Linked DNA regions of Drosophila melanogaster. The gene in region 2 interacts genetically with the main gene of each other region. Each region holds a gene or a part of one and is shown on either strand. Other genes may lie near its edges.

Evidence for each region.
Region 1: of ap (region 2) and vg, changing one suppresses a phenotype caused by changing the other (phenotypic suppression), as found in Drosophila melanogaster (3 studies listed by BioGRID).

The regions. Positions count from the first base shown.
Region 1 is NT_033778.4:12,882,336-12,888,955, reverse strand, and holds the start of vg (vestigial), read right to left. Parts: upstream 4,756-6,620; 5' UTR 3,645-4,755; intron 2,588-3,644; 5' UTR 1,812-2,587; coding exon 1,716-1,811; intron 1-1,715. Other genes in the region: AspRS (Aspartyl-tRNA synthetase), read right to left, coding at 6,051-6,214, 6,424-6,620. UniProt on the Drosophila melanogaster protein: Involved in determining which thoracic imaginal disk cells will form wings and halteres, perhaps by interacting with other nuclear regulatory proteins.
Region 2 is NT_033778.4:5,722,497-5,730,527, reverse strand, and holds the start of ap (apterous), read left to right. Parts: upstream 1-3,695; 5' UTR 3,696-4,668; coding exon 4,669-4,707; intron 4,708-8,031. UniProt on the Drosophila melanogaster protein: Required for the normal development of the wing and halter imaginal disks.

The DNA.
Region 1 (6,620 bases), 7.2 Mb from region 2:
AAATCACAGCGAAATCTTCGAAATCAATGTTAGCAAAAAGCGGGAGAGGCGAAACAAAGCCAACATTGAGTTGCGGAATTCCTTGAAATGTTGCCCCTTTAGTTTGGCAACTTCTCTTTTTTTCGGTTCTTTATTGTTTCGGGTTTCCCAAATCGATTTGCGTTCTGCGTGAATTCTTATGATTTGTTAGAAGCGTCTAATTATTCAGGCTCCAAGCCCGTTCAAACAAATTGACGCAGCCAACAACACAGTAGCTTTCGGTTGGCCTTGGCCAAAAGTGCAAAGAGGTATCCATCAATCAGCGGTGGCCAAGTGACTCATCCTCGGTGCTTTCCCTTCTTAAAGTGCTTCTCCAACTTGTTCTTCGTACGCTCGTTTGGTTAAAAGGAGACGAACGAACAAGAGTCTTAACAAAACGTTTTCTGATTTTCCTTATGGCCACTCTGTGTTTATGCAAAGCGAGCCACTTTGTGCTGGCCAACAGAAACTTGCGTTGCACAAATGGGATTCCAGTTTTGAATTGCGCTTTCACAAAGAGCCTTCACTCCTTAAATTTATTTTTTGCAATTACAAATGTGAGCATAAACGCAAGAAATACAAGATATAAGTATTTAAGAACGCTGCTTCTTTTAACTCTTATTGTACTAAATCATCTAGTTCCTTTTTAAAAGTTGTTTTGTGTAACTGAAAATTTCCCTATTTAGCTTTGACTAATTAAAATTCTAAGCAAGTTATTCAATTCCTTCTGTTTTACAGACGAGATTTCTTATCATTTCAAGCAATGGTATTACCTAAAAAAAAAACAGTTAACTTGGACTTACAAAAAGTATAGACAATTGTAAGTTTGGAAATTTTTAACACCTTGCTACGTGCGTTAGCCACAAAAACCGCAACGCCTTAAACTCAAAAATTCGCTAGCCAAAAATGTCCAAGATACAAATTTGGTCACCAACACTTTTGCTGCTCGGTTTTAGCTTATTTCTCTGATATTTTATGAAATTAGTGAGTAATTAGTACTTAATAGATCTAATAAGTTAAATAATCTCAAATTGTTGCTATTTCTGTTAGTTAACCTTTGTTGTTTTACTATCTATTTAATTCTTTTTCTTCATAAATTATTTCAAATTTCTAATTTAAAATCCTTAATTTATTACTTATGCAAAGAGAAATTGTGATTGCCACTACAGAGATTTCGCTGAGATTTTGATTAATTGAATGGTATTCCTGAGTGTAAACAAACCAATAATAAACCAATCTAATAAACGATAAACTATTTTTCGAGCATTAACTATTGAACTGAACAAGTAAAACTTGTCTGACTAAAATTCCATATTTTTTGTGACCACATCCACGTGACTATCAATATTTATTTAATGGTGCTATTGAATTCCGACTATAAGTTTAATATCCATTTTTTAAAAGCAGCCTACGTTCAAAAAGGTTACTAAATAACTATTCTTCTTCTGCTTGTAAAAGTGTTAATTATAAATATTTTACTGACTGCTTGGAGTTTAAGCCAAGTACATGCCAAGTCAAATCAATCTAATCTTTAAAATGCGATGTTTTTAAAGTAATATTGCTTTGAAAGCAATTTTGTTCGCTCGAGGAGTTAGCCGAATGCAGTTGTTTTGGCCTGATTACCCGGCCAAATATTCAAAGTTCGGAAGGCAAAATCGAATCGCATCGAATCGAATCGATAGGTTTGCGGTACTCACCCTCTCATACTGGTAGAACGATCGACTTGTTCCAGCGCGCCCGTACAGATATGGATAGTAGGCACCGTACATAACTTCGGGGCAGGACACTGCCATTGTCGCAGTGGCAAGCGCACTTGCAACTGCAACTGCCACTCACTGCCACACACACACTGGCACTGGCACTGGCACTCACACTGGCTCACTGCTTTTGCGGTTTAGCGATGGATGGTAGTTAAATTGGTATTGTCACTTGAGCGGGGAGGGAATTGTGATGCCAATACGCGTGGTTCCAATTGGATTCGTAATCGTATCGGGGGTTTGAAATTGAATGCTCTCTCTGAAGAGAGGGAGATAGATATATAGATAGAGAGCGCGCGGGGAGGGAAGGGGGCTAAAACTTGGAGTAATTATAAAACCGGCTTTCAAGTCAAGGCGTGTTTTGTTGTTTTTGTTGTATTTTTTCTGCAGCAGTTGTAGTATTTATTTCTTTTGTTGGCTGGCAAAATTCCTGGAATGAAAACTCCGCTCGGCTAATTATATTTACATATTGTAAAACACCATCGCGTTTGTATCAGCAGCTATAATTGCTTTTTGTCTGTTTTTTGTTTACGTTTTTTGTTGTTTTTCGCAAACTTCTTTCTATGCATTTGCCATTCCCGTTCGTGGGTAATTTCCTTTTCTTTTCGACTCAGTTTCCTCCCCTCGTCGCTCTTCGACTTTCTTCACTTGCTTCTTTCTTCTTTGTTTGCTTGTGCAGGCAATTGCAATTATCATTTCCACATTGTTGATTGCTGTTAGTCGTTGTTTTCTATTTTTTCAGTTTTTTTTTCCCTTTGGCGTTGGAACGTCAATTTCGTTTCTCATCCGCGTTTCCGACGAAGAATTGCCAACTGGAAGGAAAATGGAGAAAAGTGCAGGAGAAGGCATTAACAATTTGCTAATTGTGGTAAGAAATTCAAAGCTGATGAGCCAATTTCTGGCATTTATGTTAAAACCGACTTTAATGATGTGACTATTTGAACCGTAAATGTCTGTTGAAAAGCAATTGCATGTAAACAAAGCATCATCAAGTTTCAAAATGGCTATAGAAAACCACAAACGAATGCTTTCACAGCTAAAGTAATTATGATCAAAATAAAAACCAATAAACTGGCACATAAACGGTTTTATAGACGAAGTGAATTAAAACTTGTTAAAGATATCCGTCGGAAAATAAGGAATTACTTTAAAAGTCTTTGAAGTTAATTCTTTAATTCTTGGCTTTAGCTTTTAGAAATATCTTGAATTAGGTCGCAAATTAATATGCTAAGCTTTTTTGTAGAATGGAAATAAATAATCGTTGCAACTATTGATTGATACAATAACAGCAGCAGCGAATGCCAAACGTTGAACAAACTATTGCATTGAACACAGTAAAAGCTATTGAAATGAAAATATAGCTAAGGTCCGACGGCAATAGGAATCATTTTTAAATAAACCTCCGTCGGGACATGAAAACACAAAATTTACATTTTAAAAGCTATCTGTCACAAAAAATATTCGTAATTTAATGAATAATCCTATAAATTATATCTGTGCTTCTACTACTGCTATTACATATTATCCCAATTTAATTGGAAAATAACTATAGCTCCATAATGTTCCCGTTACAAAAAACTTAAGCTATTTAACAACCTTTTTTTAATCCTTAACTGTTCAGAGCTTTTCACGTTGTACCTTTTTACAATTCAATTAAAAAGTATAGGAACAATATAACCAATTAAGTGGAATTAATAAATTAACCTTATGATGTAAGGTACAAACATCAATTTCAGACGTTTAGCCTAATATGCATAATAAAATTAAATGCAAATCGATAAATTAGGCAAATTATGATAATTATAATGACACCAGAAGGAAAACGACTGCGGTCCAATTTGACATTTCATTTATCGAACCCGCACTTACCACTTGAATGTTTTTAGTGTAATCCAATAAGATGTTCAGTGTTGCTTGCGTAAATCAACTCAATTCTCGTTACAGTGCACTTTTTGCAAAATATTCAACAATTTCACATCTCTTGACAAGGTAAAACTTGACTTAATTTTCGTTTGATCGTTTTGTTGTTGTTGTTAATTTGAATAGTAATTAAAGTGATACGCGCTGGGGAATTCGCACGTGAATTCTTGAGATTTTGGCGCAGCGGCTTCTGCGATTATTTTTAACCGAAAACGAGCAGCAAACATTTGGTCGGCGCACTCAATGAAAATATTTTCGCTAAATCCACAAAATGCCGAATTCCATAAATTCTTGGCGGCCCGATTGTGCGAGAGCGAGTGAGAGAGAGGGCGATAGCCAGCGAGCGAAAATGAGATGGAGAACGGCACTATTTTGGCAATTGCAGCATCCGCGGAAATCTCTATTTCTATAATTATTATTCTGCTTTGCGATGTGGCACTTGGAAAACAAATGAACTGCACTTGCCGCGATCACTCACTAGGATTTTGGTTTTGTTTCGTTTTAATTTTACGATATTCTCGTTTACGCTGAAATCGAAAATCCGAAATCGAAAATCCCGCGCGGCGGTGAGAGAAAAACACGGAGAGCTCCGGCTGCCGCTCAATCGGAAGAGAAAAAACAAACTGGCAAAAGGAGCGGTAAATCCAATGCATTTGCGGGCAGCGCGACGGCAGCGCAGTCGCCGCGGCATTGAAAACAAAATGGCAATTTCTTGTATCGGGCCATCTCTCTCGCACGGCAGTCATTGGACCGCGGTGGGAGCGGGACAACTAGTGTGCTGCAGTTGCCAAGCACCGCCCACTTGATTGCTGCCGCATTCAGCGTTGTATTGTTGTTTCCAGGTTTCCAACTAACGATGCCACATCGGTGTGAAAATAAAATGGAGTGCGTCTCAATTGTGTCCTCAAGTAGACGAAACTCCTGCTGTTTCTCTCTGATTTTAAAGTTCGACAAACAGATTGAAAGGAATTCGCATTCATCCGGGGCCTTCTACTTCGTCCTTTTGTTCCTTTCCTTGCCTTTCCGCAATGAAAAGTATGCGCCAACTGTGTCAACAGTGTTTGCAGTGCCCCCGCAATCCTTGTTTTCCAGTCCCCTTCCAAGCCCCAAGCCCTCCTCAACCGCGAAGTTTCCGTATTGATAATAATCTGATTGCAAATGAATACAATTTATTGTGCTGTTCATTCGCCTTCATTTCGCCGCGGATTGTTGACAAGGTGTGGATGCTTATAAGTGAAAGACGGTCTACTACACCTTTAATTGTTAGATTTCTGATAGGAACGTGTAAAAAAAGCTGAAAAATCTGTGGATAATATAAAAATGGAATACATCAAGTCGGCATGGAAAATAGCCCTACTACAGAGCATATAGGATCTAAACTTATGTTTTCATTTACAAATTCCAGGAAAGTCGGAACACAAAGTTTGGTTTTAGTGACAGCTAATATGATTTGATTACTGGTTATACCGATTTGGCTAAATATCGAAATTTGTTTTAATACGCAGAAAGTTGTTTAAGCAATGTTGCATAAAATGTTGTGGGAAACTTCTATAACTACGGAGAAAGCTAGAAAAAAAACCATGTTTATGTGGGAGTTTAACCTGAGAAAGAAGTTTCCAGATAAAGAAGACATGGCCGACGGGACTTCGAGCGGTGATTATTTAAGGGATTCTCAAAGTAGTTAAGGTAGTCAGTCTTATAGATGGTCACCAAGAAAACTATAATGGTTATTACACAGCCTGCATCAAAAACTAAATTTCTAAATTCTAATGCCAGATAATAATAATATCTTTTATTTATTTTGAAAATGATGAGAATATTAATCTCTTATACTACAATCCAATTAGACAAATCAAAAGTAGTGAACTGTTTTTACTTAAGGCTTTTAATAAAATTGGTCTGGTTTCAACCTTTTGAATAAAACATTAAGAAAACTCTTTGACCAGGTGCATATTGATAAGCTATGAGAACAAATGTGGCCTTTCTACAGACCCTAAAAGTATGCAACAAAAATATAATATTCTAGCTACACGTTAGCTTATATATTTTACCCACTTAAAAATAACCAACCAAAATATTAAAAGCAATTATTAAAGTACAAAACATACGCGCAAGTATTTATTTCTTACGAGTTTCCAAATAAATTTGACTCTAGGCAGTCTTCCCGTACATTTTTCTCGTTGTTTAACAACTTTGCAGCATGTTAGTCTTGAGAAGAAGGATAAAACACTCACGATTGGGTTTGGCGTAAAAATAAAAAGAACTGAATGCTTGGAAAGTCACAGGGAAAGTAAAACAATTGTTTCATCGAATTGTATTCAAATCTAAAGAGTACGTTGTTTGAGTCTATCGTGCTTAAGGCGTTAATCGTTTGGGATCGCGCGGGAACATGGAAGTCTTGCGGATGTTGTCCAATCCCAGATACAGCATCACCACACGCTCCATTCCAATGCCACCACCAGCATGTGGAGGACATCCATAGCGGAAGGACTCGATGTACGCCGCAATCTTGGAGGTATCTAGAAAACAAATATATACGGCGTTAATATTAAGTATTAATAGAGTAGATAAGTTTCAACTTCTTATCTGAAATGGGTTACAGTCTTATATAAGCACTTGAGCTATGCATTTATATTATTCTCTTATTGCAGTCTTATCATTGTTTACCGAGAGATCTTGTGACTAAGCTGACCTTACGAGTTATTTACTACGTGTAGGGGGTACTCACCAATGCCATGGTGCTTGGCTCGTTCGATTAAGTACTCGGGATCGTGGATACGCTGCGCGCCGGACAGGATCTCCTCGCCGCGCATGAACATATCGTAAGAGTTGGAGTAGACCGGATTGTTTGGATCAGGCATCGTGTAGAAGGGCCGTATCGCTAACGGGAACTTGTCAAGGATGTAGAAGTCAGTGTCGTACTTG
Region 2 (8,031 bases):
TCCCTTGTTGTTGATGTTATCATTTAGGTTGCTAATTGCTGTCGATACGCCAAAACAAATTTGCACACGCCCACATTAACGCCCAAAAACAATAAAATCTGTAAAATATATTTTTTGATTTATTTTTATACCCGTTAGGTAGTAGTGGTAGTAGTCGGGTAGTGGGAGGGCGAACGGATGGGCAGACGGGCATGACCAGTTCGACATATTGATCGAATGATCTCTACCTGTTACATTTGACGAATGTTGTATACGAATAACGGGTATTAAAGAAATTCATCAAATAAACGTTGTTATACCCGTTAAAAGTAGAGTAAAAGGGTATACCAGATTCGTTGAAAGGTAGAAGGAAGCATGTGAGACCATATAAAGTGTATATATTCTTGATCGCGATCAATAGCCGAGTCGATCTGACCCAATATCGATCTCAGGAACTGTGAGAGCTAGAATGTTGCGATTAAGCATGCGCCTTGCATATATATAGACGCTCCGGAAGTTTGTTCCAAATGTTGCAACGCCTTCTCTAACGCCCACAAGCCACCCAAAACTGCCACGCCCACACTTTTGCAATATGTTTTAATATATTCATATCTTTATTAGTGTTGTAAATTTCTTTCATTTTGTCAATAAACTTCTTGTCACGCCCACACACCGCCCAAAACTGCTACACCCCCGCTTTAAAATATGTTTTGATAATTTCAGACTTCATTACTTATCTTGCTAACTTCTATCGGTAGCCCAAAGAGTTTTTTGAAATTATTAATAATTAATAAATAATTAATTTAATCTGCTTTTATCTGTTTTATTATCCAATAGTCGAGGCACTTGAAATATCATTATCTGTAAGTTGTATCATATACATGTCTTGACTCTAGTTATGCCCGTTATTTTACAGGAAAGGGGTATATTGTGTTTATTGAAAAGTATGTAACAGGTAGAAGGGAGCTTTAATTCACAAATATCTGTCGGTATCCCAGCTAAATTATGAAATTCCCCGTTCGCATTCTCACTAGCCGACTAGAGCATTCTCTCTTGTTTATCCTTGAAACTAAGAATTGGCTTAGAAGAAAAGGTATTTGTAAAGCATATAACGGGTAGAATGATACTTAGCAACTTAGCAAGTTTATATATCATGATCACTTTCAAAATCCGAGATCATTTAACACGTCCATCTGTCCCTACTTCTTTCTGTCTGCCCCATATGGAGGCAGAGAGCTTAGTTTCTCTGCGGCCTCGAAAATTCTATTAGCAAAACCCCAGCGATGCAACAATTAAAAATTTTTTTAATTTGTAAGCTAAAATATTTGTCAGCTTGGGTCAATGCGCTCTGTCATTAGTCAGAAAAAACAATATACCCAAGAAATGAGGATTATATTTGTAGGTACATACATTTTATTTGTAAAATATTCTATTATTTTACTGTGTTTGAGAAAATTGAAATATCGCCCATGACGTCGTAGGATACCCAATTTTGAAATTTTAAATATGAGTTATTAAGGGAATATTCAGTTTTAAAACATCTGTGAAGTACGGATTGACAATTTTTGACAAAAAAAAAAATTCTTAATTGGCTAGGTTGCCTCTGGTAGCTATCCGTCATGGTGTTTTTTTTTTTTTATTACTAAGCTGTATTTTGGAGTGCCATTCTTGACTCTTTCGAAAGGATAATTTATAATATTATTTTTATTCAAGTAAGTATTATAATTTTTTTTTATAGTCGAGTTCGTCGTCTATTAGATATCCCTTACTTAGCCAAATTAACTTCGAGGGAGACAGGTTCCTGCCCCCTTCTTTTACACTTACCACTTATTATATTTATGGTATCTAAAAACTTCAAAAGTATCGGAGTGACTCGAACTACATATTTTTAGTATTTCGTTAGATGTTGACTAAAGAAAACTTAACTGCCACGAATTCAGTATACCCTTATTACGTATTGTAGAGTAGAATTCTAACAGAGGGATGAGATGGTTATATTTTCTAATAATCACATAACATGATTAACGTTTATTATACATAAATCTACAATTATTAAAGATCAAATCGGTTTATACACCAATGTTTTACCAATGATTACTGTTACCGTTATTTTGTCCTTATGTGCCCATCTCTTATAATGTATTAGTATATTTTACGCACTTTTGTAAGATGGGCCTGTTTACAATAAAAAAAGATGTAAAATTTAAAAGAATCTATAAACAAATTATTATGAGGCACTGTACCAATTATAATGGTCTGAAAATACTGCATGTATTCGCATTTACTCTTGTCAATATTAAAATCATGAGAATTCAGCTGTGTATATTCGTAAGGAATAAGGACCCAAAATCTGTGCCGACGTCCACAACCAATCCACCCAATCAGTTCCGACTTAACCGGGGTTCTTTGAAAGCCCTCTTAAGTCAACAAGCAACAATAGCAACAACGAGGTGAAACATTTTGCCCAAAAATAAAGTTAAATGCGAAGGCTAAGTCGCACAAACATTTCAAATACGTAATACATGTTTTAAAACTTTCTGCGAAGAGTTCAAAAAGCAGCGGCGAACTTATGTATGTAACAGCAGAAGTATATTAACAATTACACTTAAAAAAATTTCTTTTTCAACGATTGAATCAACGTAAGCTGGTTGAAATTCTGAAAATGCATTGCAGTTAATGGCAAATATTTTACATTATTAAAATGTAACCGTAACCTCAACCAAAACTTGCCAAATATATGTAAGTTACAACCGGCAAAACACTCAAAATGTCAAACATTTGTGGAATCATAGTGAATGCATACCACAAAAGCTGAATATTTATAGCTGTAACTGCAATAAAAGTATTTAACGTTAAATCTGCTCCCTAAGCCATTTGGAGATTTGTGTGCACTTTGTTTCAAGCTTGTGCGGAATTAAAGGAGAAGTGACAGCAAGGTTCTATGATGACAGTTCTTATTGGAAGCAGGCGACAACTTGGGCGTAGTGCTGGTAGCGTTTGAACTGGTTGAGAATTATAAATACACCTGTCAAACGAACCTATATTCTTTCAACATTTATAGCGTCAGCATACGAAAACACAATAAATAGCTCTCAGTAAGTTAGTTACAACTTTTCTGCATGATGTTTTCAGCATGAAGACGGCATATATAGACACCATGCATCTTTTCATTACACAACTAAAGAATCAGCAGAGTCAACCGAAGACCCGCTGGTGTGAGAGTTCGTTCCCCTGTGCGTCCTCAGACCACTGTTCGTCCTCTGCGAGTTGGAATTCCTGTCACGGACTCCGCTCGCAGCTTCCAGTTCGAGTCTGGAGTCCATCCTCATTCATGTGGCGTCTGGCGCACAGCTTATACTCCTCCTGACTGCTGCTACCGCTGCCTTATTCACGTTTTGCAGCCGGCCAACTGTCCGGTGGGCGGTGCGTGGGGAGGCGATTTCGGCTGGTGCGAGAGCGCGGATAGAACACCACGCCCTCTTCGTCTACTGGCTGTGCTCTAGAGCGGGAACGAGCTACTGACGCTATCAGCTGAGAGCGCCGCCATTTGCCACTACGTGAGAGCTGCGGAATGAGCGTGTGTGCAAGCAGGATGGCAGCTCATGCGCGACATCGCACTCACTCACACTGGCGCGCGCACATCACGCACGCAAACACACGGCGAACGGGGCGGTGGAGTTTTTTGGCTTCTGGCGCTGCGCTCGCACAGCGTCCAAACATTCCCAGTTTTTCAGCTGCGACGGCTGGTTGTCCTCACGATTTTGAGTAGATCAGCTGCAGACCAAAGTCGGTAGTCGAGTTTCGAATTTGAGTCGGTTTTTGTTTTTGGAAGCGGTGCGCGTATTCGATTTTTGTTTTGACTTGAGCTCGGCTGTAGTTTCGGTTTGCCAGAACTGGATCGAAGGAGAATCGACACAGAAACAGGGAGTTGGCGAAACGGATACAAAACTGAAGTTGGATCGGTAATCGCCTGCCCGGTCATAAACAACAACACAAGGGAGCACAGCCGCATACGCATACGCGCCTCTGTCTCTAATGCCTTATCAGTAACAGGCATCGTCGAGTGTCGTAGGAAGAGCCCGACAAAGGCCGACCTTTACCACTCAATTTGGATCTGATGTGCCATTCTCGCGCTGTCTCGTAAATTAATGTCATAAATTAACTTTAGATTTCTTACGCTAACCGGTGGTCGTCAGCGGTCCGAAAACGCCTTTGCGCTCGAGATACAGGGGCGGTTTCTAATCAATACAAATATCCTACCTGCCGCCGAGTCAAGTGTTTTAGTGAGTGTGTGACCCTATGTTCCTTATATTACCTTGGTGCTAAGGAGAAAGTTTAAAAAAAGCGGCATTCAAATCGTAGTTTGTGCAATAAGAAAAGGCAAGCCAATGGTGTCAATCTCTAAGACAACGCCGAAGTGATGCATGTCCGCAAAGTAATAGATCAAGTTGTGCGCACACTTATTACCGGCGAGCCTAGCCGGGCATCTAATCGTGGCCAGTGTCAAGTGTCCAATAGCACATCTAGCCGGGGTGTAGAGGATTACCCAAGACCAACGTAGCACCGCAGCCCTTTTAAGGAGGCATAAGGCTCGCAAGACACAACGCACAGCCTACACAACGACAAACATAACACGACCGACGGACATCATCCTTGGAAATAGACCTCGTGTCATTCCAAAAGACGCACATGGGCGTCTGCACCGAGGAGCGCCCTGTGATGCATTGGGTAAGTTCTGCCGCCGTAGCACATAAAATCCAAAGTTACCAGCGATAAGACTAAAAAATAAGTCATCCACCAGTCCGTCCCAGCTCACCCAAACTCTGCCCTTTGTGATTAATATTGATCCGAGCCTGGGTTACTCGGAGTTATCAATACCAGACTGAAAGCTTGCCTATCAACAGACAGCCCCACTCAATATCGATAAGAAAGCCGCTTGGGCATTTCAGATTAAAAACAGTTCCCAGAAGTGTTCAATCAGTGGCTAGTTCGCTCGTTGAAACATTGCTGTAGAACGCGGTTACAAAATTTCAATGTGATTCCCTGCCTTAATTTTTATTCATCTAACTTAGGTTAGAATCATTTAATGTTTAAGAAGGCAGATTTTTGATGATAGTCGTACTAATCAATATACAATCAAATTGGGCGGCATAGTCGTGCAAAAAAATTAATAGATATGTAGAAATCAAAATACAGGTAAAACAAATATGTACGTTTTTACGAAATTTTTGTATATATCTGATATTCGACGCGAACGTATTCAGTTTTAGAGAATAATCACCGTGTGCCAATATATACCAATTTGATATATTTTAATAGTAGTCAATTGACCTTCAAATACTAATTTTTAACGCGAATAAGGCATTTTCTACCACACAGAGATATTCTTGTACCATTTTTTTGAAAAGAACGAATTGCCTTGATGAGTTACATGAACATCTTTTACCTATTTTTGATTTTGTCATTTTTAATTGCTATTCCTATTTTGAAACATAACGCATTCCTTATACTTTATGCAAACAATTTTTTGTTACTTTACAACTTTGGTGTTTGAAATCTGTGTGTTTGTTTTAATTCCCATCTTTTGTATGTTTTCCAAATGTCATCGATTACTGTAAATCGAGATGTACGAGTATTCGAATTCTAGTCTATATATACCACATCTATATATTGTACAAGAATTGTATAAGATTGTATTGTATAAGAATAGGAAAATCGTAAATAAATTGGAAGAGTAAAATGGTATGAAACATTCGTTGAAAAGTATGTAACAGACAGATGGAAGGGTTACCGACCCTTATAAGGGATATCCTTGATTAAGGTCAATAGCCGAGTTGATCTGGCCATGTCCGCCTGTCCGTTCTTTTATTCGTCCAACCGTCCGTCCTTTTAAACGTTTTAGGAATTGTAAAAGCTGAAACCTAGTCTTGAACATTCATATTGTACTGCCGTTTTAAAGTATTTCCAAGTCCACTAAAACAAACTCCCATATCTCAAAATTCTTTCTTCCTAAAGTATTCGAAAATGTGTTGATGATGTGTTTACCTGATAAATTCGGCACATCGATCAAGTTACGAAATTGATTAAATTCGGACTATTAAAAATTTTATAAAAGTAATTTTAGAGTTTTTTTTTTCAAATTTTTATTTTTGTACATTTCTTTTTATATATAAAAGTCGAGTTCCCCAACTATCAGATACCCGTTACTCAGCTAGTGGGAATGAAAACGCAACATTTCATCATTTTGCTGGAATATCGTTAGATATCGGTGAATAAAATGAACAAAAATTTAAATTTAAACCGCCAAGAAATACGCTTTTGAAATATGTTTTGATATTTTTCATGTTTTATAAGTCTTTAAATTTTTACCGATTTGCCAAAAAACTCTTTGACATGCACAAACAGCCCAAAGCGGCCACGCCCATCTTGATGAAAATGTTTTGGTATATTTCCGTTTTATGTATGTATTGTAATACCAAGAAAATTTTTAACACACCCTTTCTAACTTATCATTCGTCTTAATTTTTTTTCCAATTTCTTTCGATATGCAAAAAAATTGAAATTTATTTTTCGCAGTCTGCCTAGCTGAGTAACCGATATCCAATAGCGAGAAATAGACAACGAATTCAAATACATTTTTTTGTAGCTGTCATTTGCCCGTAATCAAAATATCGGAAACATCAATAAGTCCTATTGTTAAGTTTGTTACAAAACTCAATTTTAATTCAATTCAATTTTTTCTACAAAAACTCAATTTTAATGTGAATAAATACAAGGGGAAATTTGCTTGATATTGTGCGCTTGGCAAATTAACACAATAAAAATATTTTTAGTGCACTAAGTATCATATACATACATATGTTTGCGATTCTTATATTCTTTAAAATAGTAGAAACTTTTTCGATCTTTAATGTATTTTACAATAATGTTAGGCATTAACGGTGCTTATTATATTATTATACGTTATTATAACGTATTATTATTATTATACGTACACATCCGATATACTCTGTTTGATGACTGTGGATCGACAATGTTAGGAACTTCAAATTAGGAACTTACAAATGTATCATTTGATATAGCTAGAAAAACACAGACATTTTTTTGAAGTAAGTGCTTTCTGTCTACAGAGTGGCCAAATAAGCTTAAAAGTTGTTTGAATATTTGTAGTGGTATATTAGTTGTTTAGCTCGGTATCTGTAATATTGTACTTTTTGCCACTTATCTGCAATTTGGTTCACTATGCAGAGCAACCTTCATCAGGTGAATAATATGTTACAACTCATTGTCTAAACGTTTTATAATAGATTGGCACAGAAAACATACATCTATTGTATGTTTTGGTTTCGATGGAACCGTTTTAAAATAACTAACAATAAAAACAGCCATAACGTGTTCCTAAAAGCCTCAATTCTTTGTTCAGATCGTCAAGTTGTGCAGGGCACATAGCTTTCCGGAAATGCCATTATTTCTGTCCTTTTGACAATTACTTGCGATTATTACGAATACTACGAATAAAACATGAAACAAGTGTTAGTCGTAAAAATTACTTTCGTTACCTTACATTTTATTACTTTCACTATTCTCAACTTTGATATAATCCCTATTAAAACAATGTAAATACATTAACTAAAACAGTGATTAATTATATTTAAAGTCAAACTTTAATTGAATAGATTTGAGATATGATCAAAACATTTTATGTACCCCTTCTTGTTGAGTATGGGACGTCACTATATATATATATATATATATATATATTAATTAAAATCAGTAGACAAGCTTATATCGGTAGGTATACCTACCGATATAAGGTTTTCTACTGATTTTAATTTCCCTAACAACATCAGCTTGCATGACTCAGCTTTAAACGAATAGCAACAATAATAATAATAATAGCCTTTAAAAAAATACCCTCCAGGATTTACGAGTCATCATTGATATCTAAGTATATATAAGTACGCCAAAAATAGAACAAGTGTGATCAAAAGCAATAAGTTGTACTTTTTTATTATTTATTTTATTTTGTTATTTTTTATACCCGTTGATCGT